4 linked regions of the Alligator mississippiensis genome follow. The protein of the gene in region 3 purifies or fractionates together with the protein of the main gene of each other region. This does not show direct contact. Links are inferred from orthologs where the notes say so. Each region holds a gene or a part of one and is shown on either strand. Other genes may lie near its edges. The genes, in order: CEP78, COPS8, DCAF1 and DYRK2.

Region 1 (7,252 bases), on a different chromosome or scaffold from region 3:
GGTTAATAAAATTATTTATCTTTCTCCAGTATACATTGTTTGCATGCAGACATCATTATGAAAAGGTATCTCAGTAATGCTTAAGTTGCATAAACATTTTACTTATTACAAGTAAAGAAATAGCTGAGACTGCAATTGCTTTTAAGTTTCTAAGTTTAATTACTTGCTTAGTACTAGTAGACTATCGTGTAACTTCAGGGTTCAGAATACTTAAAAAAAGAAAAAAAATCTACAAGTATTGACAGAAAGGAAGAAAAGATCATAACAACACATCCTAGCTGGTATGTAGTTTCACAAAATACAAAATAAAGATAACTGCTTTATAGTTAGTATAGATTAAAACAGGGGTGGAAATATTGATTAAAACTTTGTTTTAATAAGTTCATACACACAAGCACAGATCACCTTACAGTAGTGATCCTCAACCTTCACATACTTAAAGCACCTTTTGCTAGACTCAAAGCACCTCTTGAAACGTGCCACGCTGTTGATTTTCACTATTTTTGACTACAGAAAAATAATTAATCAATACTTCTGCTGTAAAGAACTCAGAAAGACCGCAACTAGTCAGAATGCATTTAGGACCATGAATTCCTGTTTGAAATCTTTGGGTTTATCTTGTGAATCATGCCACATCACCCTGGTTGAGAATCACTACCTTCAAATATTTCTTTTTAAATGACTTACTTTCTAGTCCTCCATCTCCAATTGGACAATGAGCTAAAGACAGACTCTCTAAAGATGTTGTCTTTGCTAACCCCTTTGGAAAAAAAAAACCATTTAATTAACAGTATTATGTTAGCATATGTCTAAAGAATGGGCTGAGATACGTGTTCCCACTATGGACCCTTTGTCTACAAAAGAGGAAGAAATGGACTCTAGAAACACTGCTTACAGCTGCTTCCCCTAAAAACCGTCTAACTGAAAAGGCATAACAGAAACATTAGGGTATGCCAGGTTCCCTGGGGAGGCTGCCATTACAAGCAACCCGCACTTAACGCTGTTTCGCTTAGCACTATTTCACTATAATGCTCATTGTACAGTCATACCCAATTCCACTTAGCACTCAGCGAGTTTCACTATAACGCTCATGGTCGCCATCCTGGTTCGTCAAAAACTTTCCGTTTCGCTTAACACTATTTCTGCTTAATGCTCGGTTTTTCGGGAACCAATTAAGAGTGCTAAGCAGGGGTTGCCTGTACTTTGATTGGCCCCCAGGACTAAATTAAGCTGGCATCTCTCCAACACCCTAGAATCAGTCAAGAACAGAAGTATAAAAAGCCATCCTAAAATCACCATAGCCCTCTCTCTCTGTGGCCTGTGTGCTTAGCACTGTATCTTTAAAATGTGAGTAGAAAAATCACACCCAAGATCTTTATTGTTAAGGGTGCAATTCTTTTATGGGCGTGGTTAAAACGGTCTTACCTTTGTTAAAAGTATTAGATCTCTCTCTCTCAGAAGCAGACCCTGAAGTTCCACATTTTTTAGAACGCTTGATATACTCAGACACCCTCTGATGGCTTTACATAATTGACTCGTCAAATCTTTTGATCGGATTGCTGGAATACGCCTTCTGTAGCAGGTTTTATGTCTTTCAGCACCTGGTAAACAACAGAAATGAATTTGGGGGTGAAATGACATCCAGGCCACACTGAAGTCCCTGGGGCCAGAATCTCACCTTGGACCTTTGGTTTTTACAAGACCCATTAAAAAACCCCACAATATTTCTACCCCTCATACACATGTGCAGAAGCGTTCTGTATTGAATTCTCATGTAAACAGGTGTAAGGAGCATCTCAAGCAGTCACTACCAACCTGATTCTCCTAGACCCTGCTGATGAAAACTCCTGATTCCAACAGAAGTCAAAGTCTTATTATGCCTGACTGCATCCAGAAGCGGAGCCCAGTCAGCTGCCTTGATGCGATCTGCATTTAGGTCAAGAGTGCCCCGACTCAGGTAAGGCTTCACTGATTTTACTGGGACAGAGCCTTGGAGGGCACAGAGATGTTCATAGTGAGAGTAAAAATCCATGGTGCTCTGCTTCCTTAGTCGATTGTTTCTTTCAGGCGCAGAGTTTCTCTCTGAGCAGAGGGAGGAGGGGAAAAAAAAAAAAAAAAAAAAAGACTACAATTGATCCAGCTGAACAAACTACATACTGGCAGAGGCTCTCAATACAAGCACCCGCACCATGACAACGGAGTAAAGCTCAGGTCCAAACAAGTCACTGCATTCAGCACATTACGCGACAGCACTGCCACCTGGAAACGAATGGGAGGGAACCCCGCATCGACAGTCTCTCACAAACAGCTCCTACCTAACTGCCATAAAGATCATCTCCTAGGGCACGGGTCCGCTACCCCCAGCACGCCGAGGGCAGGTGGAAGCCAGGCTGGCGCCGCCCCAGGCCGCTCCGTGCCGCGGGCCGGCGGCACTGCAGAGCAGGAGGCGGGGAAGGGGCCCCAGGCGGCGCGAGTGGGAGCGCAGCCCCGCCCCCACTCCGCCGCCGCCGCCACCGCCTCCTCCGAACCGCGTGCGCCTGCTCGCGGGCACTCACCTCCTGCCTGCCACGGCACGCGCACACGACAACACCCTCCCTCTCCCTCCCCCGCCGCCGCTGCCAGCCCCGCGCAGCTCAGCCCGCCAAGGCGTGCGGCACCGCCTCTTCCGGGGGCGGGGACATGCCGGGGACAGCTTTTCCCCGCCTGCGGCTGGGCTCGGGGCTGGGGCAAGCGGTCCGCGTTCGGGCAGGGCCGGAGTGCGCGCAGAGCGGGTGTCAGTGGGGACGGGCAATGTTATTATTATTGCCATTATTATTATTATATAGAAATATCTATAATATATATTTCTTGTGTGCGTGTGTGGTTATGTATACATATATAAACAAATGTCAGCCCGTTAGAAAAACCCAATTCAGAAGCCAAAATCACTCTTCTGTTCTATCCCATATACAATAAGTGCAACCAAACACACTATTTACATATCCTTTAATACAAAATTTACCCAGCTACCACCATTTAAATATATAGATATAGATATCTAAATGAGATAAAGGGGGTGGGTGTGCGTATACATATATCGGACTATGTACACACATGCGCACACACGTACACAAATTTTATAAAAGCCTTAATCAGTCTGTCCGTCTGTCCATAACACTTTATTCATCCTCTAATTGACTCAGCCCCATTCATGACAAACAATTTGCTATTGTGTGTGTATCTATATAGTGTCTGATACATTGTGTCTGATACCTGGGCAGACAAGAATTGTTCTGTAATTATTCTAGGAGCTTTAACCTATTTCATCTTTCCAGCATACACTTTAGAGTTTGATCTTCCTGTCTCTAAGAAAGACCAAAAGCAGAGCCTGTAAAATAACAGTCACACCCAGCCATGCATAACGCTAATAATTTTTACAGGATGCAAGCTCCTCTGTGCATACATGAATTGTAAAACCAAGACGTAGTCCTGTGTTTACGGCGTTTCACATGGAAGTTTTGGTGCATTTGTTCAACAGAACATGGGAGTTACACCTAGCCTGTAGGAATGTTAGGCCCCAGCTCAAGTCTGGGTTCATGCCCGGTATGCAAAGACCAATAAAGATACCAGAGGTGAAAGTATAAAAAAGATTTATTGCTAGCAATAAAAGGTGCAAGCGGAATAATTTCACCCTACAAGCACAGCACATATGCAATACTGAGCCCCTTATATACAAGAGTTTGAATCTTCATAAGCATCCTTGTTTGCTATTGGTTATAAAGGAGTGACGCAAGGAGTTCTTTACTGAGCATGTCTCTATACCTGTATTTTAGCTATGTATCTCATTAACATACATATATGTTTCATTAGCATATATCTTCCCTGCCTAGGGGTGTGATTTTTAGTATTTTAATGAGCTCTTTGTTCCAGTAACTCTGATTCTGTTTTTGTTTTCAAGCTTCCTCTATCTAAGACTGTCTGCTCCTTATCATTGCAGATGGGCATTCGTCACATAACATTCACTTTTGCTTAGGCTTTGCATAGTAGTTTCTAGGTCGAACCTTACATTTCCCTCCTCTGGAGCATTCATAATTATTAATTATGATTGCTCCATTCAATTTGACTTAACACAAATCTAGTATTCTCAGCTTTCTTTGTTTGCAAAATCATTTGATTTACCTTAGGTCTGAAGATAGATGCGATACAAACCGGTATACATTGGATACAGAAACAAACCATAATCCCTATAAAACAAAATAGAACAACCATACAAAATAACTGTTTCAACCATCCAAAATTGGGAAGCCAGGAAGTTAACCAGAAAAAGTCTAAGCCAGATGATTCTTTCAACGTCTGTGTCAATCGTTGTAAGGCACCAATTTTGTCTTCAATTACAGAATTATCAGTGAGGTTGAAGCAGCACATTCCTTTTAAGGTTTCACACTCCAGATTGTGTCACAACAAGAGATAATCAATAGCGGCTCTATTCTCTAAGACAGCATCCCTTAGTTGTTTTTGTTCAGCATTCAAGGCTGAGAGCGCTCGAGATGTAGCATTTAGTCCTTTTGCTAAAACACAGGCCACTGCATTAAGATTTCTGCTATTACAGACAGCAAGACCCGGAACCCCCACCATAGATGCAGCTAATGCTATGTATTCTGCCTTAGATAATAGTCCAGGGGAATCATTCTCGTCACAATCAGCAGTGAGAGTAGTGTATGCTCATTTAAACCTCCCACCAAGAGGGGTTTGTTCAGTGTGCATTAGGTCAGACTTCCTTGGAAGAGCTGCAGTTACCCGGGCAATGGTGCATGGTCCCCCAGTAGCATTCGCTGGAAGGTATAAATATATCATTCTCCCGCAGGCCAGAAACCATCCTCGAGGAAGGATGGTATGTGTGTATACATACGATATTTGACTGGTCTTATTACAGAAGATTTTTCTACCTTGGTTCAATTCAAAGCAATTATTGGTACAATTCACTATTAAGAAACATTCAGAAGCATTAGCTGTTGCCTGAACCCGTACAGAAAACATGTCTCTGCTTTTCTCTTTTACAATAGTCCCCCACTTATATATATCCTGATATGTATTTTCCTTCTCTACATCTTTCAGCATAGTATAATTCTGTAAAATTTTCAAAGGGGTAGGTACTGCAATTAAGCATGAGGTAAAAACCAGATGAGCATTGATCCCTCCCGCTAAGCAGAAGTCTGTTCTATTTAATATTTCCCGGGCCAGATAAATCCAGACATTTTCCTGAGGGTCAAATTCTTGTGGTAAAAGATTTTCCCCTCCTATAAGTAGGAGTGGACAGATCAGGGTGCCCCACACTAAAACCTTGAACAATTTCATAATAAGGCTTGTAAAACTTGATCAAAGATTGACAAATTATTCAAAGTTCCTTTCTTTTGAATAGGAATTTTAAGTCCCTTATTGGCTCCACCTTTCACTGTTCTCTGCCTCCGGTCCCGGAGTTTGCAGGAGTTTCTTCTTGTTCTGGTTCAGCCACCGGCTTTAGGCGACTGGAATGTATCCAAGTCTTGATTCCTTCTAGCTTTGCTGCCATCGGGGTCGTTAAAAGTACTCTATACAGGCCCTTCCATCTGGCTCGAAGTGGTTCCTCGTTCCAATCTTTCACAAGAGCGTAACTTCCAAGTAATAATCGATTTTCCGGGGCAGGAGACTGGTTCTGTGTCTGCAGCACGTCCCGTACCTGCTGATGGATGGAAGACAAAACAGAAACCAAAGACCATACATATTCTCTAATCATTCCCTCTCCTAAAACATGTAACTGTTGTTCAGTACCCATGGGCAGACTCAGAGGGTAAGGCTTACCATACATTATCTCAAATGGGCTTAATCCCAATTTAGAATGTGGTGCGACCCTTACTTGCAACAGGGCCAAGGGTAGGGCCTCTGGCCATTTGAGTCGAGCTTCTTGGCAAATCTTTGCAAGGTGTCTTTTTAAGGTCTGATTCATACGTTCCACCTTTCCACTGGACTGGGGTCTCCAAGGGGTGTGTAAATGCCAGCTGATTCCCAGGAACTCAGAAACTTTCTGAGTAATTTATGCAATGAAATGTGGGCCATTGTCTGACCCTATTCCTTTTGGAAGTCCGAAGCGAGGTATGATTTCTCGTAGGAGTGCCTTGACCACCTCTCGGGCTTGGGCAGTCCGACATGGGAAGCACTCAACCCAATTAGAGAAAGTGTCCACAAAGACAAGGATCTCATCCCCTGTTGCTGGGGTAACTCAGTAAAATCCACCTGCCATTTTTCTCCTGGCCCATTGCCTATTCTCTGATGTCCTGAAGTTTCTTTTCTCCCTCCTTTTGGGTTATTTCTCTGGCAGACCTCACATGTCTCTGTTACCTTCTTGGCAGCCTCTCTTAATCCCACTCCAGTTACATAGTGACTGATCCACCTTATCAGGGCCCTGGGTCCATAGTGGGTGCCATGATAAGCTCTCTTCACTACCATATGAACCCAGGCAGCTGGGATGATAATGCGGCCATCCTTTGCTACTAGCCACCCGTGCTCCCCCTTCTTTGCTTGAAACTCTCTTATCAATTGTTTGTCTCTTTCCCCGTACTGTGGTGTCACAGGCTGGTATAAGTCTGGGAGGAGAGGTAACAGATTACTTACTTTGGGCAGCAAGTCTTTCTGAGGTTTTTTAGCTGCTTTCTTTGCTGTAGCGTCAGCAAATCGATTACCTTTTGTGGAGGGATCATCATTTTTCTTTTGATGTGCTTTGCAATGCATTACTGCTACCTCTTTTGGTTCCCAGACTGCCTTGAGGAGGGCTTTTATCTGCTTGCTATGCTTAATGCCTGTTCCTTTTGAATCAAGTAGACCTCGCTCTCTCCATAGCGCTCCGTGAGCATGTAAAACAAGAAAAACATATTTAGAGTTAGTATAAATATTGACAGTTTTGTTGGCCGCCAATTGCAAAGCCCGAGTCATAGCAATGAGTTCAGCCTTTTGAGCTGAAACAGATGGGTTTAAAGGTCCTGCTTCTATCACATTCTGTGTAGTCACGATAGCGTATCCGGATTTTCGAATTCCATTCTCTATACTCGAGCTGCCATCAGTGTAGAACTCCAGGTCAGCTTTTTCAAGAGGTCTGTCTCTCAAATTTGGTCTTGAAGAATAAACAGTTTCCAATGTTTGCAAACAGTCATGCACAAGATCTGGTGTGTCACCCATAGATGGCAACAGTGTTGCTGGATTTACATGGCGAGAAATGGCCAATTTTATTTCAGGCTTATCT
Region 2 (6,843 bases), on a different chromosome or scaffold from region 3:
TAAGTCGGCACCGATAAAAAGGAAACTGACATTACTAGATTTCTTTTGGCTACATGGCCAATAATGTAGCTGATAAATGCCTGCGTGCATGTGCACAGCCGCAGCGTGCATGCAGCCACGAGTGCAGCCCAGCAGCTTGGAGACAAGCGTCTAGCCCGCCTGTGGGGGGGAAGGGGCATGAGAGAGGCAGATCAAGCCCCCACAGCGAGGGAGGAAGCGGGGCAGGGGCTGCACAACTGGGGTGGGGCGAGGTGTGGGCTGGAGCCACGGCTCGTCCAGAAGGCGTGTGGGGGGCAGGGAGGGGGGGGATGGTTTCCACCACTGCATGCAACCTTGGAAGAGGCATGAGCCCCCCAGATCTGTGTGCAGAGCGAGGGCAGGCTGCTGCATGCTCAGGGCCGGGGATCCACTGGGCTCTTCCCAGTGGGAAGTGGGAGGCTGAGCCTGGGCTGCGCACAGGGTGGGCAGCAGCAGTGCTGGGAGGAGGACTATGGGATGGGCTACAGTCACCCTTTGCCATAGCCCCCCTCCCAGCACAGCTGCCATCCACCCTGTCCCTGCCTACCCTGAGCACAGCCCAGGCCCTATCCCCCACTCCCCCCATGCTCCCCCAGGGGTGCACACAGTGACGGAAGCTGTTCCCCCTGCACCGCCTGGATGAGCCGCGGCTCTGTCCCATGCCCTGCCCCACCACGGCTGTGCAGTGCCTGCTCCTGCCCAGCCCCACTCCCTCCGTCACCAAGGGGGACCTTGATCTCCCCTCCCCCCCAACAGACTTACCAGCCAGACGGTGCTCTCCAAGCTGCTAGGCTGCATCTTGGCAATTGGACTGGTATTGGCTGATATGGCTCGTTAATAAATCAGCCATCGGTATTGTTAGATCCCGGCTCCATGCGGCTCCCAACGACTAGGGAGACAACTATCCAATTGCTCATGGATCCAGCTGCTCATTAGCCAGAACAAGCAGGCAGCAAACACCAGCACATATTGCTCGCAACAGCTTTATTCAAAATGCAGACAGCTTCGGGCAAGCTTCCAAAGAAACTGGGGAGCAGCAGTGAACATACGTTTTTTTCCATATTTATACACTTTGGTTTATACTTATTAATATTTACTCCACCTTTGTCCCTCCCATCTCAAGCTCTGCCTTTGTTTACCATTTACTTCATTAGCATGGAATTGTCTATGCATTTCACTTATTTACATGTCTTTTTGCTATGAACACACGACTAAGACCTTGACTCCACTTCTTTCGGTCACTGGGCTGACTTCAGCCAAAACCTGGAAGCTTCTTTACCAATCACCATTCACCTTTTCACATATGTTTATTTCAGATTCTGTTACCAATGATATGTCATCTTTCACATTTCAGTCTGTTTTTCAGTCCCATATTGTACCATCTTTACATTACCTCATTCGCAACACACAGACTTACTTGCTGCTTTTTCAGAAGAATGGTTCACACAGTTAAGATGGTTAATTCACATAAGCAAATGGATGGCTTAGCATAAGCATTCATAAGCAAAATCTGCTCTATCTCCTAATGACAGCCGGTGGCTTGCATCCTGTTTCTTTTATATAAAGGAGTTACATATCCTACAACACTACTATATGGTCAGAAAACTACTTGCTTAAGCATCTCACAATGTTACTTTTAATACACCATTCTGCCTTGTGGTCAGCAGCTTTTGTAAGCCACAGATTAAAGCCTTTATTCAGCTGCAAATCCAGTACTCCCCAAGATCCAAATACAGTCACCCCAACAGGTAGCAGCCCCCAAAAAATCTTTATCTATGCACTCCTAGCTCACAGACATTGGAAAAACCAGCAGACAGACACAAAATGTTCTCTCTGGTAATATCAGCATCACATCAAAGTTAAAACACAATACAAATGGCAAAGGAGGATGGGGGTAACTTTACTCAGTAGAGAACTACCCCTGAAAGAAGACGTAGTAAACCTGACAGGTTTATGTGGTGCCTGTCCCCACTGCTAGAGACAAATAAGCTACTGCCTGCTCCACCAGCTCCAACCTTCTCCAAGTGCAGCAGAGGCCACCTGCAAACCCAGGATGGATAACTTCGTCTCTGTTCCTGATCCCAGTGAAATTTAAACAAGAGCACAAACTGCTATACATGTCCGTACCCAAGAAGTGGAAGGGGCCCATACAAGTTCCCACAACTGACCAGCCATCCACCTAGGAAGGAAAATGGCTCTGCTCTGGTTTCTGCTCCCTGCTGTGTCCTAAATTCAATCTGCTACTCTCTCTGTTGTCTTGCAGATCCAATCTGCTGCTCTGCTTCCTTCTCCCTGCCCTGTTTCATGTCCGATCTGCTGCTCTGCTTTCTGCTCCATGCACTCAAGTCCAACCATCTGCTTTACGTTCTGCTCCTTGCCTTGTGTCCCATGTCTGATGTGATGCTCTGCTTTCTGCTCTATGCCTTGTCCCGTGTCCGATCGGCTACTCTGCTTTCTACTCCCGCCCCGTGTCACACCTCCAACCTGCCCCTCTTTCTCTTCCCTGCCCTATCTCCCAGGTCCAGTCTGCTGCTCTGTTGTTTCCCCTTCACTAGCTCATGTCCGATCAGCTCGTTTCTGCCCCGCTCCCTGCCCCGTGTCCCACGTCCGATCCGCTGCTCCCCCTGCCCGGCCGGTTTGGACCGTTCGCGGCAGGCGGCGGCGAACGTGGGGCAGCCCCGCCCCTTTTAGCATCGGCTCCGCCCCGCGCGCGCCACCGGCAGCGGGACCTGAAGCCCCAGGGGCCCAGCGCGACCCCCCGAGCCGGGCGCGACCCCGTGCGGAAGGGGAGCGGCTGCTGCCCCTCCTGGCCCCGCCGCTACCTCCAGCTCCTGCGTCTCGCACTGCTCCAGCAGCTTCCTGAAGCTGAAGGCGTTTTCCGCCATCACCGCCACTGGCATCTTCCTGCCCGGGCAGGCGCCACAGCCGCCCGCCGCTTCCGGCCCAGAGCTCGCGTCACTTCCTCCCACACCACTGGCGAGGAGTGGGAACCGTGTCGCAGAGCCGCTCTTGCCACCCCTCGGCTGCTTAGGAGGACTCGAGACTTGGAGGGAGGAACGCTCCGGGAGGGGGCGGGACCGCACTGCGAGCCAATGGCGCAGCTGCCAGCCCCGCCCCGCCTCGCCCCGCTCCTCTGGCTGCTCACCTGGGTCGACGGAAGCTGTGGGGAGATTCCAGCGGGGCTGGCGGGCGCTTCTCGTCTGCCTGGCTGACTTTATTTGGGAAGGTCAAGTAGAACACGTATCTATCTATCTATCTATCTATCTATCACAAACTTTGGTGACTAACCAAAGCAGTACATAGAGCGCCCCTCTCCACCCCGCCCCCAAATGCACGTACGGTACAAGTCTTGCTGACCTGAATCCAGCTGCAAAGGACAAAAGAGACAGAAATGATTCAAAACGAAATCGCCAAATTTGACGAAAGGAGGCTAGATTAAAACTGAGGCTCCACAGCTGTAGGTAGATTGTCAGTGGAGTCCGTCAGACATCACAGAGCTTTGCTGCCATATTAAAATGTTCCAAGATTCACTAAAACCAGTGTGAAGTTTGTATTTCAGCCTTGGAAACAGAAAACATTATTTTCTTATATCCCACAGAAAAAACTACAATAAACGTGTATAGCATGAGCTTTGGTGACTAATTACACCCATAGACACAGACACGTGTATCCCCCTTCCAGCTTTGGTGAGTCAAAGCTCGTTTCATCAGATACTTTCAGTAGCACGTGCCTACTGGGCTTTCTTTTTTTTCTGATGGCAACACACACACACACACACACACACACACACACACACACACACACACACACACACACACACACACACACACACACACTTTGGTCAGTCTATAAGGTGGAAATCCACCCTTCCTTTTAATTGACTTCAGACTAATGTGGCTAACTAAAGGTGCGTCTGTGTGTTCATAAATGCATTTTAGGCCACGCTTATTAAATCTAGTATCTCTGGCCATTTTTACACATGCTGTGGGATCGGGGAGAGGGAGAGGGGAGCGCTTTCATTAGAGTAGCTTCCAGAGCCACTCTAATTAAAGAGCCCAGAACTTCTCATTGATCAGAGTCCCTGCGCTCCAAAATGGTGGTGGGGGTCCTTTAAAGCTGGTTCAATGAGCTTGAAGTTTTGAAGTGCAGGGACGCTGACACATGAGAGGTGGAGGCTGGCTGGAGCAGACTCGATTAATCAAGTCTGCTCCAATGCACTGTAATTACAGCATGGCAAAACAGCCTCCCAGTTTAGGTACAGGCACCCTCCATTGTGAGGTACTAGAAAACCGTACATTAGACTATTTTAATGTGTATTAGTTAAAGAGCACTTTTTATGACACTTTAATGCACATTAAAATAAGCTAATGTGCATTAAAGTGCACATATAGACATGCATTACATCTCTCAGCAAATGCTGTGTCACTACTGATCAGGGCTCTTCTAGCATCTCTATAGCAGCAAACCTGTAACATTGGAGGCTATTGCTTATATGCAGAATGCTACTAACGTGACTCCACGCTGTGCAAGAACTTGATCAGGCTGCTGTGTAGGAAAAGACTGACCAGAAGAAGGTAGAAGCCATACTTCACTGCTGCTCTCTGTGCTGGAAGTGTGCTCACAGCTCCCCTGTGCTAGGATTTTTGCTTTCCTCCTTCATATCCCTCCTAAAATCTTTCAACACGTCTAACTTCCGCTTCTGCTCTACTGCCAGTGTGATTCATCACCTAAACTATAAGCATGAGGCCTAGTACTGAAAGGCAAAGAGTATTTGCAAACAGTTTCCACATTAGATGTCGATCCACATCTGCTTCGGCAACACAACACGAAACATTGTCCACCTCACCACCACCATCAGCTACAATTGCCAACCACTCAGGGTGGCACCACCTACCCGCTCCTTTCAACCCTGTACATTTCTGATATCATATCAGCTATATAGTAAAAAAAAATCATATATATAAATGATCATTACTTTGTAACATGGGGGGAAGGAAAAGGGAGATGATTCACAAGGCTTGTCGACGGGATCACCATGAGGTTGCCTACTGGGAGACCAGCTGGAGCCTAAGCGGGTGCAAAAGGCAGGGTTTTGGGGTGACTGTGTCCTGCAGTGGGGTGGGGGGCTTAGCATGAGACTCCCAGTGGGAGGTAGAGGGCTGAGGACTGTGCAGGGAGCCCAGTTTACTGGCACAAACAGGCGCCTCCTGCTGTAACTCATTAGAAAAGACATTACTAGTAGGGCTGTGCGAAATTTCGCCGGCAGTTTCATTTTGACAGTTTCGACTAGTTTTGAGCTCAAAACAGCAACATCGAAATGAAAAAGAGAGCTTCAAAACAGCCTCAAAACAAAACAAGACAAGTCAAAACGTTTCAAAATTTTCAAAACGTTTTGAGTTTCGAAGCTCAAGCTGGGCTTGCCTGCAGGGAAACAGAAACTAAAGTAAGGGGAGGGAGAGGGTAGAGAGGGGAAGGAGCGCTCTCATTATTGACTGTGTAGCTGGCCAGTGAATGTCATCCTTTCCTGAGGTCCCTTCCAATCCCAGTGCTCTGGGGAGGGATAGAAAAACTGCAAAGAAGGCAGCATTGTTTGAACTGCCCTGTTTTCTGCCTTGGTGTCAGTCGAGTGAGGGCGCAGCTTAACACACATACACAGTGTCACCCATGCATGTCACGAGTTTTGCCTGTCAGCAGCTAGGGGTGCAGGGCCCCAGAACCCAGAAGTCCCTGAACTTATCTCCTTGAAAGCTGGCAGGCTTCATGACCTCGTCAGGGTCTAGCATGCCTGCAGTTTTCAGCCTGCTGCGCCTTAACACACACAGTGTCACCCATGTCACAAGTTTTGCTTGTCTGCAGCTTGAGGTGCGGTTTCCCATAAACCCCTGCATCTATCTCCTTGAAGCTTGGCAGGCTTCATGCCCTTAGAAGGGGCTACCATTCCTGCAAGTTTCATCCAAATCAGGCTAGAAATGACAAAGTTATAGGCTGTTTTAACCTTCCCCATTATAGCCTATGGGCAAAACTTCGAAACAGCGTCAAAACAGCAAAACCGTTTACACAAAACGAAACAGCAGTTTTGAATTGAAGTGAAATTCGAAAGGAAACGCTGTTCCGTTGAAACATCAAAACACAAGTCGAAACAGAACAGTGGTGTTTCACACAGCCCTAATTACTAGAGGTAGATTGGTATTTGTCTCCCCTTACTGGAATTTGCGGCAATGGGACTTAAGTCATTTGAAAGCCCATGGCGTGCAAACACAAACATGATGCACCAAAATAACTCAGGTTAAAATTTTTAAGGCCTGGTAAATTAATGAGGATCAAACGCTGCACTGTGTACAAATGCCCTAAGTCTTTAAATCCCAGTCCTGCTAAGACATAAAGCACATATGAAACTGTTTGCAACACCAGAGCCTGTGACTGTCCTGAAAAAGTTACAGCGACAACACCTCATACATCTGAAGCTCCTCATGTTTTGCTTCATCACAGCCCTTCTAGAAGGTTAGTTATGCTGGAGGATTAAGTATATTTCTATCCATCAGTCACTGCTTTTGTTTAATGGGAAAGTTGGAGTTGTGTTGGAATTTCTTTATAAATTCTATTTTATTGCCACCCTCTCTTTCTCCCAGGTGGTGGCACTGCTGTACTGTCTCTTATCCTCTGCCCTATTCACATGCTACTCCATGGTATTTCTAAGCAAATGCTGACCTGGCTTTCACATTCCTCATCTCTAGTTTCCAACTTGATCTGTCTTGCTCTTTGTTTTCCTCAGCTCAGTACAGTGGGTGCTTCCCATAAAGAAGCTGCTTTGAAATTCAAATATAT
Region 3 (7,553 bases):
ATTTATTTTATTGTAACTACATGCTAAATGCCATCAGTAAAGAGACCAAGGTGTATAACACAAACTTGTATTTCTCATGCATTAACCACAATTTTCCCAGCACATGCATTTTTATGACAAGTGCATAGCATTTGCAGATGCAATGATCAAATCAATTCCTGCCAGATTTACATTCCCCTCACTCAAGAACTTCATCAAAGGGCTCAAGAGAAAAAACAAGAGCGCAGACTGAATAAAATGTGATCAGAAGTGCCCCTAAGCTGCAGTAGAGGATGTTTATTAGAGCAGCCCTAATTCTCATTGTTTCCTTTGTACAGGCACTTGACAAATTTCAACCCCTAAACTGCTTTTCAGGAACTAAGAATAGGATGTAGCATTTTAATCACTGATTTAAAAATCAAGTTGAAATTCTGTAAAAATGATGTTGAAGTTGCAGCCTCAAATTATAATTTGTAATTAAGTAAATGATAACGTTACATTTCTTTAATACCATTACTATTTGGGAATCACATTTTTCAAACTTGCCATTAGCAAAATGCAAAATACTGAAAGCCAGGCCTCGATTCTGCAAGCACTTATGCAGGCAATTTTATTTGTCTCTGTCATCTCAAATAAAATGACTTCAGTTTTAACAATAAAAATCAACTGAGACTTAAGAAGACAAGCTCCCATGATACATTAATATACAAGCCAAAAGACTGAAAAAGGTCTCTCACAAAAAAAGGCCCAAGTCCTCAAAGGTGTTTAGGCAACACGGATAATCCTACTGATTTCAACAAGAAATAGGCACTCAAATCCTTTCGTGCCTGTGGCACAGAGTGACTCTGGGACACAGCTTCCAACTGCAAAGCCTAAATAGTATAATCTAGCTGAAATGTTTCAGCTTCAACTTTATGAAACTGCAACATATTGGAAGGGAATGCTAGCTGCAAAAACAGCACAAGCTGTTTGCTTATCAATTTTGTGGCACTCTCCTGGTAAGGATTACAACAAGGCTCTAAACTGTTTCAGGAGATATAACCATTTTACATGAAAATCTTTTAAAATAAGGTACCTACAGTATTAGAATTTCAGATAATAAATATGAAACTCAAGCTCAAAAGCTGCACTGCAAAATTTAAAATGAAAAGGAAACAATTAGCAACATATAAATAACAAGAAATCATATTGTTTAAGAAAAAATAAGTAATGATTTTAATCAACCTTGTGGCAGAACGTCAGACATAAATTCTAATGAAGATTAACAGAGTTATGAAATTTGTCCATCAGCATAATGGACAAGGTCAAGCCACATTATAGCAACCACACTCTAACCCAGTCCAGATAAAACAAGAAATATAATACTGCTCTCAACAATGATTTAAGTTTTCTAAAAGAACCACTGTAGACAAAGTCTAAGGTAGCGTGAAATCTAACTGCAATGGTAGAAATTTTTTATTTTTTTTTAAACAGCAAGTGCTGCATAAACAAATGAAGCTCTGGCTGCCTGAGTGTGCAAAGAGCCTGCAACAACTATCCCACTCTTAAAAAGGGTGGTAAAGTTGCAACCTAAGAATGATTATGCAAATGCCAACACTGATTAACAACTGTACTGTTGAACACAGTCTATAAGCAAAGAAGAGATCTGCATGGTCAATCACGAATGAAATCACATCTTAGTGTTAGAAGAAGCAGGACTTTCAAGATGATGGCCTATTTTTTCAGCTTGTCACTTCAGTCATCAAGAAGCAAATACGACTTGCCTGCAGGCCCTACAAACAGTAAAAATAATGATCTAAAAAACCAGCACTGTTCTACTTGTCCGTCAAAATGTAGTATTCACTCACTCACCAACTTGAGTCAAATTTTGGAAGTCCAGCTCAAAAGATTAAATAATTTAGTTCTCTACATTTAAGCTTCTATGAAATGTACCTCAGAGGGGCTGTCAACCAACTGTAACAAAAAAATAATTAAAACAAGGAACAAATATGTTGGTGTCAAGAGAAAAATCACTCCATTCTCAGTCCACTGGTTTTCAAGGGGTGACAACAATCCCCAATCAAACAAGTAGGAGAAAAGCAAGACAAAGAATGGGTCTATGCCTGAGCCCTGTAACACTGTAACTACACTTGTGTAATCAAAGACATCCTGCGCTCCCACAAACGCACTTTCCTGAGCATGTCTGACTCCTAATCAGGGAAGAGGTTCACTAGCCCAGAGGCACCTGTCATGCCTATAAGAGGGACTGTACCAGTTTAATTCTTGCAATTAATAAGTGTATGAAAACAGTCTCCAAAAGGAAAGCAGCTCCAACAGTAGAGCCACTCACTACCAAAACTACACTGCATGGAAGGAGGAGGCGGCAGGCCCGAGGTCTCACCCCGGCCCCTCGGGGCGAGGGGGGAGAGGGGGGGGGCATATGGAGGCAGCGGCGAGGCAATGGCAGGGCAGGGCTGGGCAGAGCAGCCCACCCGGCACATGGCAGCAAGGATAGGTGAGGAACAAGGGGTCCTTCGAGCAAGAGGGCTGAGCTGGGCGGCAAGTCACCACCCCCCCACGTGGGCAGGAAGCGCCACGCTCGGGGCAGGGGGCGGGCGCGCGGACGGACGGGGAAGGGAGGCCCGGAGGTAGCGAGGAGCCGGGAGTGACCCCGGCGGCACAAGGTGGAGGGAGCTGCAGGGGGGACCGGGCGCCCCTCCCCCGCCCCGCGGTAACGGCCCCGCGCCGGGCCCGAGGCAGGACCCGACAGGACAGGACAGGGCCGGGCCGGCCGACGCAGTGGCAAGGCCAGGGCCGAGCGGCCTGTGGGGCCGGGGCCGCAGCCGGTGCCGTCAGCCACCCCGCGGGGTCCGCGCCCAGCCCTACCTGCCCAGCGCCCGCTGGTCCCCGCCGCTGCGCTGCGCTGCGCTGCGCTGCGCTGCCCGTTCGGCCCCGCACAGCCCGCGACAGCGATGGCGGCTCACACTTTGCACGTCACGGCGCGCGCAGGGGCCGGCGCCCGCGCAGCCTCCAGGGAAACACAGTTCGAGAGCCGGCGGCACAGTGCGCATGCGCGGCTCTCTCAGTGCCGGGAGGCTGGGTCTGGTCTGCGTCAGGCTCGGGGGCGGGGCCGGTTCCTGACCCCGCGGATCAAGTGATGGTGCTCACTCCCGCTCATGAGGCGCTGTTTGCAGAAGCTGCCGAGTTAAATCATCTCGGTCCTGCCCCGGTGCGGGGGCGCAAAGGGCTGCTCATGCCAAGCAAGGTCTTGTTACTGCGATTCTGGGGCGGCTCCTGGAGCTCTCAACGCCTGGCTTGTCTCCACATTAACTCCTGAAACTGGCGCCAAGCACTAAGGGTGTGAAGGTATTTTCGGCTTGTGTTACACTAGAGCACCTGCACCTTACACCCCGCGCTCACACCGCTCGACAGATGTGCGGATCACAGCACAACATGTGACACGGCCCTCGCATGACATTGCACTTGATGGGATTCATGTTCATAAACCTTAAGGTACAAGTTTAGGTTGGGAATATATTGCCATATTCATATTCTTCCCTCAATCTACTGTTTGCTCCATTAGAGTTACCCCACAGACGAGCAGGATTACTAGAAATAATGCCTTCACACACTGGACTACTTTCTTGAGACGGGCCCAATCAATTACCACTTGCAGAGTCGGGCTACCACAGGAACGTTAAATAAAAATATTATATTCTCTGTTAAAAAGGGATGGTCATAGTGCAGAGTATTCAAGACACTTTAGAATACATGTGCGCACACATGCATATATATACACAATATATATATATATATATATATATATATATTGCCTGCAACGGGGAACTCCTGCCCTTGTTACTGGGAGGGCTTGAATACATTTTAAAAAAGGGCAGGAATCAGGTAGCTAATGAGGCAGGCAATTAACTGCACCTGGCACTGGGAAAGGATGAACAAAAGGGTCAGTCAGGTGACTGGAAGGGGCCTGGGCTGAGAAATATAAACCCAGTCTCTGAATAGGCATTGGTTAATCTGGTCTTGTAGTTGGCAGCTGGTGGAGGTGGGTTGATTAGTGTCCGCCTAGTTCCCAGAGATCTGCAGGGAAGAGGCTAAGGGGAACTAGCACCCTGCAGGGAAGTATTAGCCCAGAATAGAGAGGTTTTTTTTGTTTCACAGCTGTTGGGCTGATGTTTATGTTTTGGCTAGATCTTTTGGAGAACTGGCTGTGGCTGTAAAGAGAAGAAGCCACAAATAGGAGTGCTTTAGTGCTTCCCCCTGCAATGAGCCCCAGAGTTCAGGCCCTGAGATTGAGGTAAGGGTTGAAACTCAGAGACTGAGGCCTTGAACAGCAGTCCCAGGCAGAGGGTGTAGTTGTAGAGCAAAGGGGAGCTGAGGCTGTGATGGCCAAGGCCCTGCCAAGTGCCTCAACCTATGTGGGTGTCCCCTTTAAGGGGAAGTACCAAGAGAAGGCAGAAGGTCCCAGCTATTGCTGGTTGGTATGGACATATCAGTCCATCCCATGATGTGACTACCTGCCACAATTTCAGTGTTGTTGGGGAGAGATCCCTAGGGTCAGTAAATGATGGGAGGCAAAGCAAGGTTGGGAAGGCGCCAGCAAGCAGGGTGGACCCACGTGGGTGCTATGTTACCACATACAAAAATTTATGTGGTGACATGAATATTCCTTCCAACCTATAAATACCCCTATGGCGATGGATGGTACTACAGCTTGCTATGTTCTTCATGTCTCCAAAATAAATTACCTAAGCTATGGGGTTTTTGTACCCTGCTGCCCCTCTCAAATGAATGAATTTATAGTCTGTAATGAATTCATCATACAGTTTAGACTACCTTACAGAATCCATCTACTTGCTCATTTTAAACACCTTCCTACTGAAGTCAGAGGAAGGGAGGATGCCCAATCCATTAGACTAGTAGGGATATTGTATGAGTACAAAATGACAACTTTTGATACCAGCTTTAACTCATGCAGTTTGTTTTTAAGTATCACATTACTTGATTCAATAAACTTATTTCCTTTTCCATTCTTGAGTGTTACACTGAAAGCTGTTTAATTTGGCCATTGACTTGCCTACTTTTGACCATTAGACAGCAGCTTGCTTTGGAAACAAGACTATTTCTCCTAATCCTGTAGGAAACTAAGCACAACACCAAAGCAAGTCACATTGAACCAACAGAGTCAAATCATAGGAAGACTAAATCATCCCAGCTGTTTTTGTTCGTCCATTACTACTTCAGCATGGCTGCTTCTATCACAAGGAAAGAAGCGTGGTCTTGTGCCTTTTATGGAGCAAGGGACCAAGTCAAGAGTTTGATTCTGTTTCAGCTTTCCCACTGACACTTGTGACTATTAGCAGGTGCCTTCAATTTATATCATCCCTCTTTCACATGTAAGGTGTAACTAACACCTCTTCAGGGTGTTAGTAATAAGTAATGAGCCATGTCGTCTGGCTCGTTAGTAGTGTGTACTCCTGGAAGTGCCGAGTTACCATTCAGACAAGGTTCTTTGGGTAAATCCGATATCTCTTATTAGACCAACTAAAATAGTTGGGGAAAAAAATTTTTTTGGTCATTATCCAGGCTGTTGGAAGTTTCTTAAAAATGGGGGAGCTGAAAGTAAGTACTCAAACAGTGGCTGTGGCTGTGATAGTAACAGGAATGGAAAGCAAAGTGTTGTAATGAACTGATAGGGGCAACACCACATGGAATGCTCAGGTAGCTGAAATTTTCCATCATAAATGAGGAATGTTAAAGAGGCTTAATGAGAGTGACCAAAAAAAAGTGGAAAGGAAAGAAATATTTGGTGTAATTTTTGTAATAAAAAGATGCTAAAGGTCAACTTGTACAAGATGATGGTAAGACCAAGAATGAAATACAAGGCAGAACCCTGGATCATGAGAAGAAAGAAAGAGAAAATTTGACAAGGAGAGAAATAGGTTGCGATCAACCCTGGGAGTACTTCCAGCAATGACACCTTCCGTGTATCCTCCACTTCTAATAAAGATGGTTACAGAAGCTAGATCATACCATCAGACCTTCTCAAGAAGGTATGACAAAAAAAGTTACTGGGCAAAATGATCTCCAACAAGGGTTGGCAACCTATTCCCAATGGGCCAGATGCAAGTTATGAAAAGACTTGATCCAGCCTGCAACAGCATGCTCCAGCCAGTGCAGCAGAGAGGGCATTCCCCAGGTACTGCTGCCTATCTCATTCTGTATTTCCTCTGCAGTATTTGCAAGTCACTGCAAATCTTTGCACCCTTCAATAGGGGCTGGGTTCAAACAGTGGCCCATAACAGTGGAAGGTTCTCGACCCCTTATCTACAGGATGATGCCAACTATTGTTACGTGGGAAGTTATGTTGTTTACCCAAAAGGTGGGAACCAGTCATGAAGGACTTCCTGTATCCATATTTGAATGTGGGTCCAGTGAAGTCTTACTTTAACAGGACACTTGGGGTTCTCACTCAGGGCTAGATGGTATGGGGCCACTTTTACCAACTGACGTATTCCCAAATAAGAGTAGTTTTTCTGCATACCTGTATGGGAATTGAATGTGGGCTTGAATTCCTAAGGGGCCTTGGGTCCAACAGGATTAAGTACCTTCTCATGTGTCTGGCACCAGGCAGAGTCACCAATGCCTAGGCCCTTTGGCTTGCACAGTTAGTTCAAAGACATGGTTTAGGGTGCTTTTAGAATTCATATTTCAGCAGTAGCTTAACTAAGGTAAGCGGGGAAAAGGGTAAACAGGGCACCAGATGCCAATGGAGGGGCTGGAGGGGAGGGGAAGTACAAAAATAGCAGTCAGCACTGCCTGAGCTGGTACTACCATTGATGGTGGCAACCTAGCCACTGTCCAGCTACACCTTTATTTTAGGTAGAGGTTGCATTGCACTTCAGAGATTCAGTTATGGTACAGGACTTTGCTATCTGAAATGAAGATACTGTTGTTCTCTTTCTGTACTTCACATTCTCTTGCAGAGATACACAGAGAAAAAGGATTGATGGAGTCTAAAACAGGTAGAAAGCAACCCTAAACCCCTCTGGATTAAGCTGAAACTATTAGGATTTCATGCATCCTGAAGACCAGGGGGTGAAGAAAACTGAAAAACAGCTGTCTCTGGCTTTTCTTCCTCTAGTTTTGCCACACACTAGGGCAAGCACCAGTTAATATTAATCATCAACCTCATGGTGAACTTTTTGCTTCAACATCATCCACTTTGACAGCAACATTTTTAGCCAGAGGCTCAGCCCAATATTAGCCCATCCAGTTTTTTCAATCCAATGCTTGTATTAGTTCTTCCAACCCTGTTTATTCAAGCATTAGCCGTCTTTGGTACATGCCCATTTTGGGATGGGTCATCTCCTTGATAATCAGTGATACCACATCCAATGTATTTGAGTCTCTGAAGACTGCTGGATTCTTCAACAAGACTTGACGCCAGTTGTTGCTAGAAGGTAGTGCTGCTGCCTGTACCTTCTATTGCAGGGGTGGGCAAAATACAGCCTGTGAGCTGGACTTGGCCCACCAGGCCATTCTATCCGGCCTGCGGGGCCCCTAAAAAATTTAGAAAA
Region 4 (7,644 bases), on a different chromosome or scaffold from region 3:
GGAACAGATACAAAAGGACAGATTTTGGAGAAAAGGACTAGGAGTCTGCAATGACCCCTCCAACATTTTCAAGCTTGAGTGTCCAGAAAAATAGTGGAAGTATTGATGAAAATGGAGAAGGAAAGGATTAGGATAGTCTCACACTCTTAAAAAACAAACATATTAACCAACACAACCTGGTGCAATACACTGCTAAGTCTGTCTGCTTAGCAACACAGGTTGCCATGATGACAGAGACTGAAGCCATATCTCTGTCCTGATGTTCACAAACTTCTAAGGGAAGGCACCTCTCCCTGTCTGACCCTGCTGACTAATAAGACGAGACAGGATTTTCACAGAAGTTGAACCTATAGCATATGACTCAGCTGTGTAAGCAGTTAAGAATGGCAGTGGGCCCCTTCACTTTCATTATAAATTTCTTCAACTTGGTTTTCCCTCTACAGGTTCTTCAGATATGTGTGCACACACACACACACAAATATCTAAACATGCTATTTTTCCTAAAGGCTGGGAAGGCAAAAGAGACTGCTATTTTTATTTTTAGCTGTGTGGGAGGTACAGAAACTACGGTGATGGGAGCCATGTAAGTATATGCACAGAGGGAGGGAAGTCAATGTAGAAAGAAAAATTAGAAGTTCCATTTTCAGCTCTGTTTTGAAGAAGTGGTGGGAAATAAAATTAAAGGGAGTTCAGTCAGGCAGTGTTAAGGGAGGTCACTGCAGCTACAAATCCTAGAATGATCTTGCAACCAATATATCCAAATGGTTTTAAAAGTTACAATCCACCATTCTGATGTCACAACTGATTCTTACCATAAAAAGTTATGTTCACATCTTCTACCAACCACAAAATAACAACCTGCAAAATTCAGCGAGGCAGCCTGCAATACTTCTAAAATAGTACTCAAGGCTAAATAAGTGGCATATCACAGAGACACAGATTTTAACAGTGAGAGCTAGAGGGACCTGAAATGCCATAAAATTGTGCTTGCCCTTTTCTGCTAAAAAACCCATCAGGGTTCTGTACTATCAACACCATGATCCTAGGCCAGCAAGCAGAGATAGACATGAGGACTACTATATCTGTATGAAGCCCAAATTAAATCCATGGGTGAATGCACATGTCTGTGCAAGAACACTTGCATGGCTATTTTCTATGTTTTTACTATTATGTCTTATATTTTGCTTTAAAAGAAAAATGTAAACTGCCTCCACATTGTTTTAACTCAGCCAGCACTTTACCAGCTCTCCATCTGTTTAACTACAAACAAAATTTAGCCTCTGTGTTTACAGAGGCATATAGTACTGTACAGAAGTAGCTTCAGTATATACACATGCTATATAGATATAAATATATGACATGCGTGTGTGTGTGTAGGCATGTATAAAATATAATGATATATATATAGCACTTGTAGCAGTTATACTGTTTAAATTAGGTCCAGTGTGCTCAAACTGGGAACAGATTATCAGTCAAATTTATTTCTGTAGCTAATGCCCAGTAAAAATATAAATCTATACCATAATGCCCATCACTATAGGATAAAGTATAAACCTTGTCCATAGGAACCTGTAATTGTTCCTGGAATTTCTATGTATATCAGGATGCTCCATAAGAGAATGAACTGATATTCTACAAATGAAAGAGGGGTCTGCGGGGGGAGAGAGAGAGTGTATGTGCATGTGGGTAAAACATACTGATGCTGAACATAGACCCATCTTTGATTTGTAGAACATCAGGTCATTCTCTTATGGAGCATCCTAAATTTAATGTTCAATTAAAAAAAACAAAATGGAAAATGAAAGCCTTAAGCTTCTTCTTACGGCAAGTGGATCGGAGTAAGATATCTGTATCCCAAACGCTATGCAGAAAGCCGCTGCAACGCCGAGATCCGAATGCAGACAGTTTCACCTTCCACCAGCACATAATCACATTACAGTGTAAAGCTCTGCCATATGTTTACAGAGATAGCATGTGAGCATCCAACCGGGCAATCATTAGTCTGAAGCAAAACGCAGGGGTGAGCGCTGCCTTCTGCATAAGGACACCTTCTGCCATCGACAAGGCAATCAGAGGGACGGACGTGGCAGTGATTTGGGGCTCTTGCACCACCCGGGAGAGGGAGACCCACCCCTCCAGAAATAGCAGCTTGTTTGGGAAGCCCCATGGCTGGTGGATTGGCCAGGACTGGGCGAGGATGGGAGCTAACCACCCCCCCATCCCATCCCCTCCCGTCTCCTCCCTCCACCTTCCTTCGGGAAAGAGCTGAGGCAGTTCATGAGACACATCAATGAGCAAAGAGCAGCCTTCAGGTCAGGCCTCCAACCCCAGCCCCCAGCCCTGGCACATCACCCGGCGGCGGCGAGGGAAGGGCTCATGTGTCCCTGCTAAAAACAGATTCATGAAGGGGTGGGAGGGGGTCAAAAACAAAGCAGCTTCTCAGCGGCCCTGACCGTGCGCCCAGATGTGAGCTGATGTTGCCCCGCTCCCGCACGAGACTTGTTGAAACCAGGAGCCCCGGGGGCGAGGGGAGGGGAGTGGTGTCTCCCCGCGGCCAGGCTGCAGCGCGCCCCCCGCCCCGGCCCGGCCCGGCTCTCACCGTGTGCGCGGCGTTGCTGGCCCGGAGCGGCGGCAGCGCGATGGGAGACGGCGGCCCGGCGCCCGCGGCCGTGCGCGCTCCCAGCCCCGGGGAGGGCTGCGGCTGGCGGCCGCTTTCGCCTGCCCGGCCTGCGGGGGGAGAGCAAGCGGTGAGCGGCGGCGCGAGGGGACGGACCCCGCCCCGCCCCGCCCCGCCCCGCGGGTTGCCTCCCCCCAGACCCCGCGGGGCCGGGCCGGGCGGCCCGCGCTGCTCACCGACTGGGTAGGCGGCGGCGGCGCTGGTGGAGGGCTTCCTGGTTAACATGGCCGCTGCGGCGCCGGCGGGGGGAGCGGCATGTCAGCAGCGCCGGGCGGCTCGGCCTGGCCGGGCAGCTGCGGCCTCGGCGACGCCCCGCCGCAGCCCCCTGGCGCCGGGCCCGCCGGGCACAGCCCCCGGCCGCCCGCGCCCCCAGCCCCGGCGCATCCCCGCGCGCCCGGACCCGCCTCCCGCGCCCGGCCGAGGGGCGAGCCCCGCCTCGCCGCCTCTCTCCTCCCCCTGGCGGAGCAGCGACCCCCGCCCGGCCCCGCCGCCGCCGCCGCCGCCCCCGCCCCGGGGAGGACTGGCACGTGCAGGGCCGAGGAGCCGACTCCCACCTCGGAAACCCCCTCCGCCCAGTCCCGCCCCGCCGCCTCCCGTGTCTGGGCCGGGGCCGGGGCAGGCGCGCGGGTCCTGCCTCCCGCGGGCCGGGCAAAAACCCTCCTTTAGCCCCGCCGGCAAGGAAAGGGCCGGCTCCTGGGAGGGGGAGAGCTCGTCCTCCGCTTTCGCATTGGCAGGCAGTTCAGTCACCGCAGAGGGTGATGCCCCCAAGCCTGGTATGCCCACACCTTAGCAGGTGATACCCTCAAAAGCCTGGTATCCCCACACCGCAGAGGGCAATACCCCCAAGCCTGGTAACCCCCAACTGCAGAGGGCGATACTTTCAAAAGCCTGGTATCCCCACACCACAGAGGGCAATACCCACAAGCCTGGTATGCCTGCACCTTAGAGGGTGCAGCTCACTGGAATGGGGGGGAGGGAGAAGGCATCATCCAGACCACCTCATTCTTGAGAGCATCAGCCAAGACAACAGCAGTGGGGAGAGGGCAAGAATGGGCAACAGAAATGGGGCTGGGGGCAGAGCAGGACAAACACCAGCTGCAAGGAGACAGAAAACAGCTACCAGGGGCCAAGGTGAGAGTTTCAGAGGGGAAAATAAATTGAAACATTTATAGGGACAAAGTCTTACCAAAAAACACATCTGACAGAAAGCAGATTCTGAAACATACAAAAAAGCCTCAATTTGAATAGGGGGAAAAAAAGACAGAGCAAGGGATTTTTTTTATTATTATTTTCCTGTGTGTGCTGTAGAGATCACATGAATCAAAAGGATTCTTGATTCAATGTCAGTTTGAACTGTAGTACCAACAAAAATAGATATCTGAACATTTGCCCAGTTTAGGATTGAGCTAGTGAACTTTCCTCTCTACACTCAACCCTTTTTGGATGCTGTACATTTGTTTATGAAATGCTGATAGGTAGGCAGATGGACAGACATCCTTTCCTTTCTCCCCTTTCACAAGGAAGTAAAAACAAACCTCTCCTTTTCCCACTGCTACAGATATGTCTTCCACTTCCCCTCCCCCTCTGTCCTCCACTGCCTGGGGCACAAACATGCACAAAGACCTCCCCCTCCTCCTTCCCCCATTGGTACAGAGAAATAGACACTTTCCTCTTCCCCTCTTGCCATACACAGAAAAAAATACCATACCTTTTCCTTCTCGCATACAGCTGACCTTTTCCCCTCATGGCAAAAGAGAGATTTTCACCTTTCACTGCCCCTCCAAACACACTCTCTTCACAGCCCATAGAAAGAAACCACATTGAGATACATTTGTGAATGTAAAAATAACAGTAACATGTTACCTCAGTGATCTAAATGAGTTTTCTTTTACATAGGTTTGAGTGGTGTGGTAGCTATGATGGTCCAGGAAATGTTTCTTTTATTGGCAGAGCAGGAAGCTGATTAGTAGAGAATCCTGTTTGTACAGCAGCTGTATAATGAAGCTTTTAAAAAGTGAAGCTTTAAAAATGCTTGCAAAAGTGAGGCTTTAAAAATGAAGCTGATGTTTGACTACCACTCTGGTCCCACAATTCATACCAACAAAGAATATGTACACCAAATCCCCTGAACAGTCAGCACCATGGGAATATTTCCCATGAAATGCCTTAGAGGTCCAAAGAGTGGTCCAGAGGAATGCAGCATCCCAATATATGGAGGCAGAGATAAGTGTAAGTAAGATAAGTACTGAGATGAAAATGCAGCTGGCTCAAACTCAGTCCAGATAAGAGAGAAGTGATATTGATACCAGGGAAACACTTCACAGGACTAGCAAGAGCTCTAACTTCACCTCTATGAAAGGTGTCTGGTCTGTTTGTCAAGGTGAGAGAAAGCAGTAAGTTCCTCTGGACTCACTGCTTCCTCTAAATATCCAAACTTCAGAAAAGCCAAATAGGGCTTTTTCCTGTTTCAGCAAGATAGGGCAGAGTCTCTTTCCCTAACAGGTGTGCTTTACCTGTGTCATCTAAGGCTGGCCTACTGCAGTTCATTTATCCAACCGTACAATCGCATAGATTAAGATTCAGCTGATCCATCACATAGTGCCCCATCTGGTAGATAAGACAGGCCAAAAAAAAGAGCACATCACATCAGTGACTGGCTCCCATCCAATTCTGTATCCACTTCACAATTTTGGTGCTAATTTTTCAAGTTCCCAGTGGGACAGATAGATAATTTAAAGTCTCTCTCTCACTCTGTCCAATCCACCTTGACAGTTCTGATCAATATGGTCACTGTGGCTGATGCAGTCTAGAGTGAACCTGGGGATCAGGATAAGCCTGTCTCAACACTTTCAGGCACAATGGAAGATACCTCTGTTCAAGCATTTCTTCTTGCAGTGAAGATTATTAAATGGCTTTACTTAGAAAGAAAGAAACAGGAGAGAACATCCCCTCTTAGAAAGCAATGGCAAAATCATAGAGAGGAGAGCTGGAGAGTGCTGTCCTTTTGGATGAAATACTGCATTGCCTAATTGTATATTTGGACTCTAATCCTCAACAGTATCAATGGGAGTTAAGCTTCTAAATACCTTTGAGCATCTCAGCCTTCATATCAACATACCACAGTATGCTACAGTGATGGTACTGTAGGAATAATAGACATATCAACACTTCTTGAAAAGCACTGAGTACCTTTAATCAGTATTAATTGCAAATTATGGCCTCTCTGAAGACTGGCATATAGAAAGGGGAATTGTAATGGAACTGTTACAGATAAGTGATTGTAAATGGCAGGATTTGGATGGAAGAGAGACACAGATCTAAGGTTGAGATTTGATTCAGAATTACTTTAGAACCCTGATCCCATTGAAATATACAGGAATTTTCCAATTGCTTTTGTGCAAGCAGAATCCAGTCTTACTTTTTAAATCTGATATGCATCAGCCTTCATTATCCCCTCCAAAAATATTATTTTCTCACTGAAATACCTATTGCAGTGGAAGTTTTATATAATATTTCAATATAATTTTTAAAAATAAAGCTGGGCTTTTGTTATTGATATATACATTCAGAGCGGAGAGGAGAATTCTTGCCACAGAACTGTAGAAAGTGCATTAGCACTGGTAAGAATATAGTGCAAAGCTAAAGTAGCTTGCAAGGATCAAGTATTTGTTGGCATTCATAAACCACTCCAGCTATACTTTATTCCAGCTAAACTACTTGCACACAGTTTATTCTGTTTTCAAAGATTCAGTCATACTTCTCTCTAAGAATGCATAAGCTGCTACTTTTATTATAGCATTAAGATACAACAAAGGATGTTTTATTGGTCCATGAATATGCCCTAAAAACATGTTCCAAGGTTCTATATGAGACTGCAGGACAAAGAGTAATTTTTCTCCTTATATTATTAAAGTTATTTTGTGAGATTTCTGTCCAGTATATTCAGATCTCAGGACATGCTCACCATCCATCCTTTCTTAACTTCTATATTTTCCCCCCCAAGTCATGTAGCACTAATGTTCAGTCTGTGCATTCATTTTAGTTTGCACAGATGATGGAGGAAAGTGTTCTGTGCCAGATCTCCCTCTATTGCAATTTGTCATTTCTTTTTCCAGATTGTGTTCTCAAAGTATATTAGATTTTTTTCCTTTTACCATTTATTATTGTGTAAACTCTCTGCATGGAGTAATTTGGAGACAAAGGGTCCCATTTTGCTTTCAGTTAGAGTGCTGTAAATCAGGAGCTACTGTACTGAAGTCTGTAAAGTAGCACTGGTATAAAACTAATGTAAGAGGAAAAGAGTCAGATACAGATATTTTTAACTCCCATAGTGAATTAGTTACACTGAGAATTAGCTACACTGAAAATTAGCATGTTATATAAGGACAGTCTATAACATTCCTTCACCCATCTGCAGCAGAATTCTGGTCCATCGTGCAGAAGCAGCTTGGTAGCTTTTCTTCATTCTTAGAATCAAAGAATTATAGAAAAGTAGGACTGGAAGGACTGGACTACATGACCTCTGGAGATGATGTAGTCCAGGGGTGTCAAACAGGGCTGGATAATTTCGACACCCCTGGACTACATCATCTCCAGAGGTCCCTCCCGAAAACTCCCCCCACCCCACCTCCCCAGCCCCTCCACCAGCATACCTGATCCTGTGACTACTCCAGCCAGTCTAGGATCTATGCATGCAGTACAGATCCCAGAATAGCTGGAACAGGCACACTTTGACCAGAGCAGCAGCTGCTATGCATACACAGTAGCCTCCCCCACAGATCCAAGACTGGGCTGTACATGGCATCCACTCCAGCCAGTCCCGGACCTGCAAGGCATATGGCACCTACAAACACCACAAGTAGTGCAGGTCCTGGACTGGCTGGCGTAGGCACCATGTGATGCATGTTCCAGAGTGAGCACCATGTGTGGTGCAGTCTGGCCACGTGCAGCACAGCTACTGCTCTAGC

What was found.
Region 1: the proteins of DCAF1 (region 3) and CEP78 purify together in Homo sapiens (affinity purification with western blotting; 3 studies listed by BioGRID, with this or other methods). This does not show direct contact. The link is inferred for Alligator mississippiensis from reciprocal best matches to the Homo sapiens genes DCAF1 and CEP78.
Region 2: the proteins of DCAF1 (region 3) and COPS8 purify together in Homo sapiens (affinity purification with mass spectrometry; 4 studies listed by BioGRID and IntAct, counting the BioPlex papers as one, with this or other methods). This does not show direct contact. The link is inferred for Alligator mississippiensis from reciprocal best matches to the Homo sapiens genes DCAF1 and COPS8.
Region 4: the proteins of DCAF1 (region 3) and DYRK2 purify together in Homo sapiens (affinity purification with western blotting; 5 studies listed by BioGRID and IntAct, with this or other methods). This does not show direct contact. The link is inferred for Alligator mississippiensis from reciprocal best matches to the Homo sapiens genes DCAF1 and DYRK2.

What each region holds. Positions count from the first base shown.
Region 1 is NC_081826.1:199,686,300-199,693,551, reverse strand, and holds the start of CEP78 (centrosomal protein of 78 kDa), read right to left. Parts: upstream 3,016-7,252; coding exon 3,002-3,015; intron 2,663-3,001; coding exon 2,556-2,662; intron 2,083-2,555; coding exon 1,816-2,082; intron 1,602-1,815; coding exon 1,426-1,601; intron 761-1,425; coding exon 688-760; intron 1-687. UniProt on the Homo sapiens protein: Centriole wall protein that localizes to mature centrioles and regulates centriole and cilia biogenesis. Involved in centrosome duplication: required for efficient PLK4 centrosomal localization and PLK4-induced overduplication of centrioles.
Region 2 is NC_081827.1:186,158,304-186,165,146, reverse strand, and holds the start of COPS8 (COP9 signalosome complex subunit 8), read right to left. Parts: upstream 3,021-6,843; 5' UTR 2,919-3,020; coding exon 2,841-2,918; intron 1-2,840. UniProt on the Homo sapiens protein: Component of the COP9 signalosome complex (CSN), a complex involved in various cellular and developmental processes.
Region 3 is NC_081835.1:46,299,789-46,307,341, forward strand, and holds the start of DCAF1 (DDB1- and CUL4-associated factor 1), read right to left. Parts: upstream 3,015-7,553; 5' UTR 2,845-3,014; intron 1-2,844. UniProt on the Homo sapiens protein: Acts both as a substrate recognition component of E3 ubiquitin-protein ligase complexes and as an atypical serine/threonine-protein kinase, playing key roles in various processes such as cell cycle, telomerase regulation and histone modification.
Region 4 is NC_081827.1:68,669,876-68,677,519, reverse strand, and holds the start of DYRK2 (dual specificity tyrosine-phosphorylation-regulated kinase 2), read right to left. Parts: upstream 3,001-7,644; 5' UTR 2,903-3,000; coding exon 2,854-2,902; intron 2,728-2,853; coding exon 2,600-2,727; intron 2,179-2,599; exon of another isoform or gene 1,824-2,178; intron 1-1,823. UniProt on the Homo sapiens protein: Serine/threonine-protein kinase involved in the regulation of the mitotic cell cycle, cell proliferation, apoptosis, organization of the cytoskeleton and neurite outgrowth. Functions in part via its role in ubiquitin-dependent proteasomal protein degradation.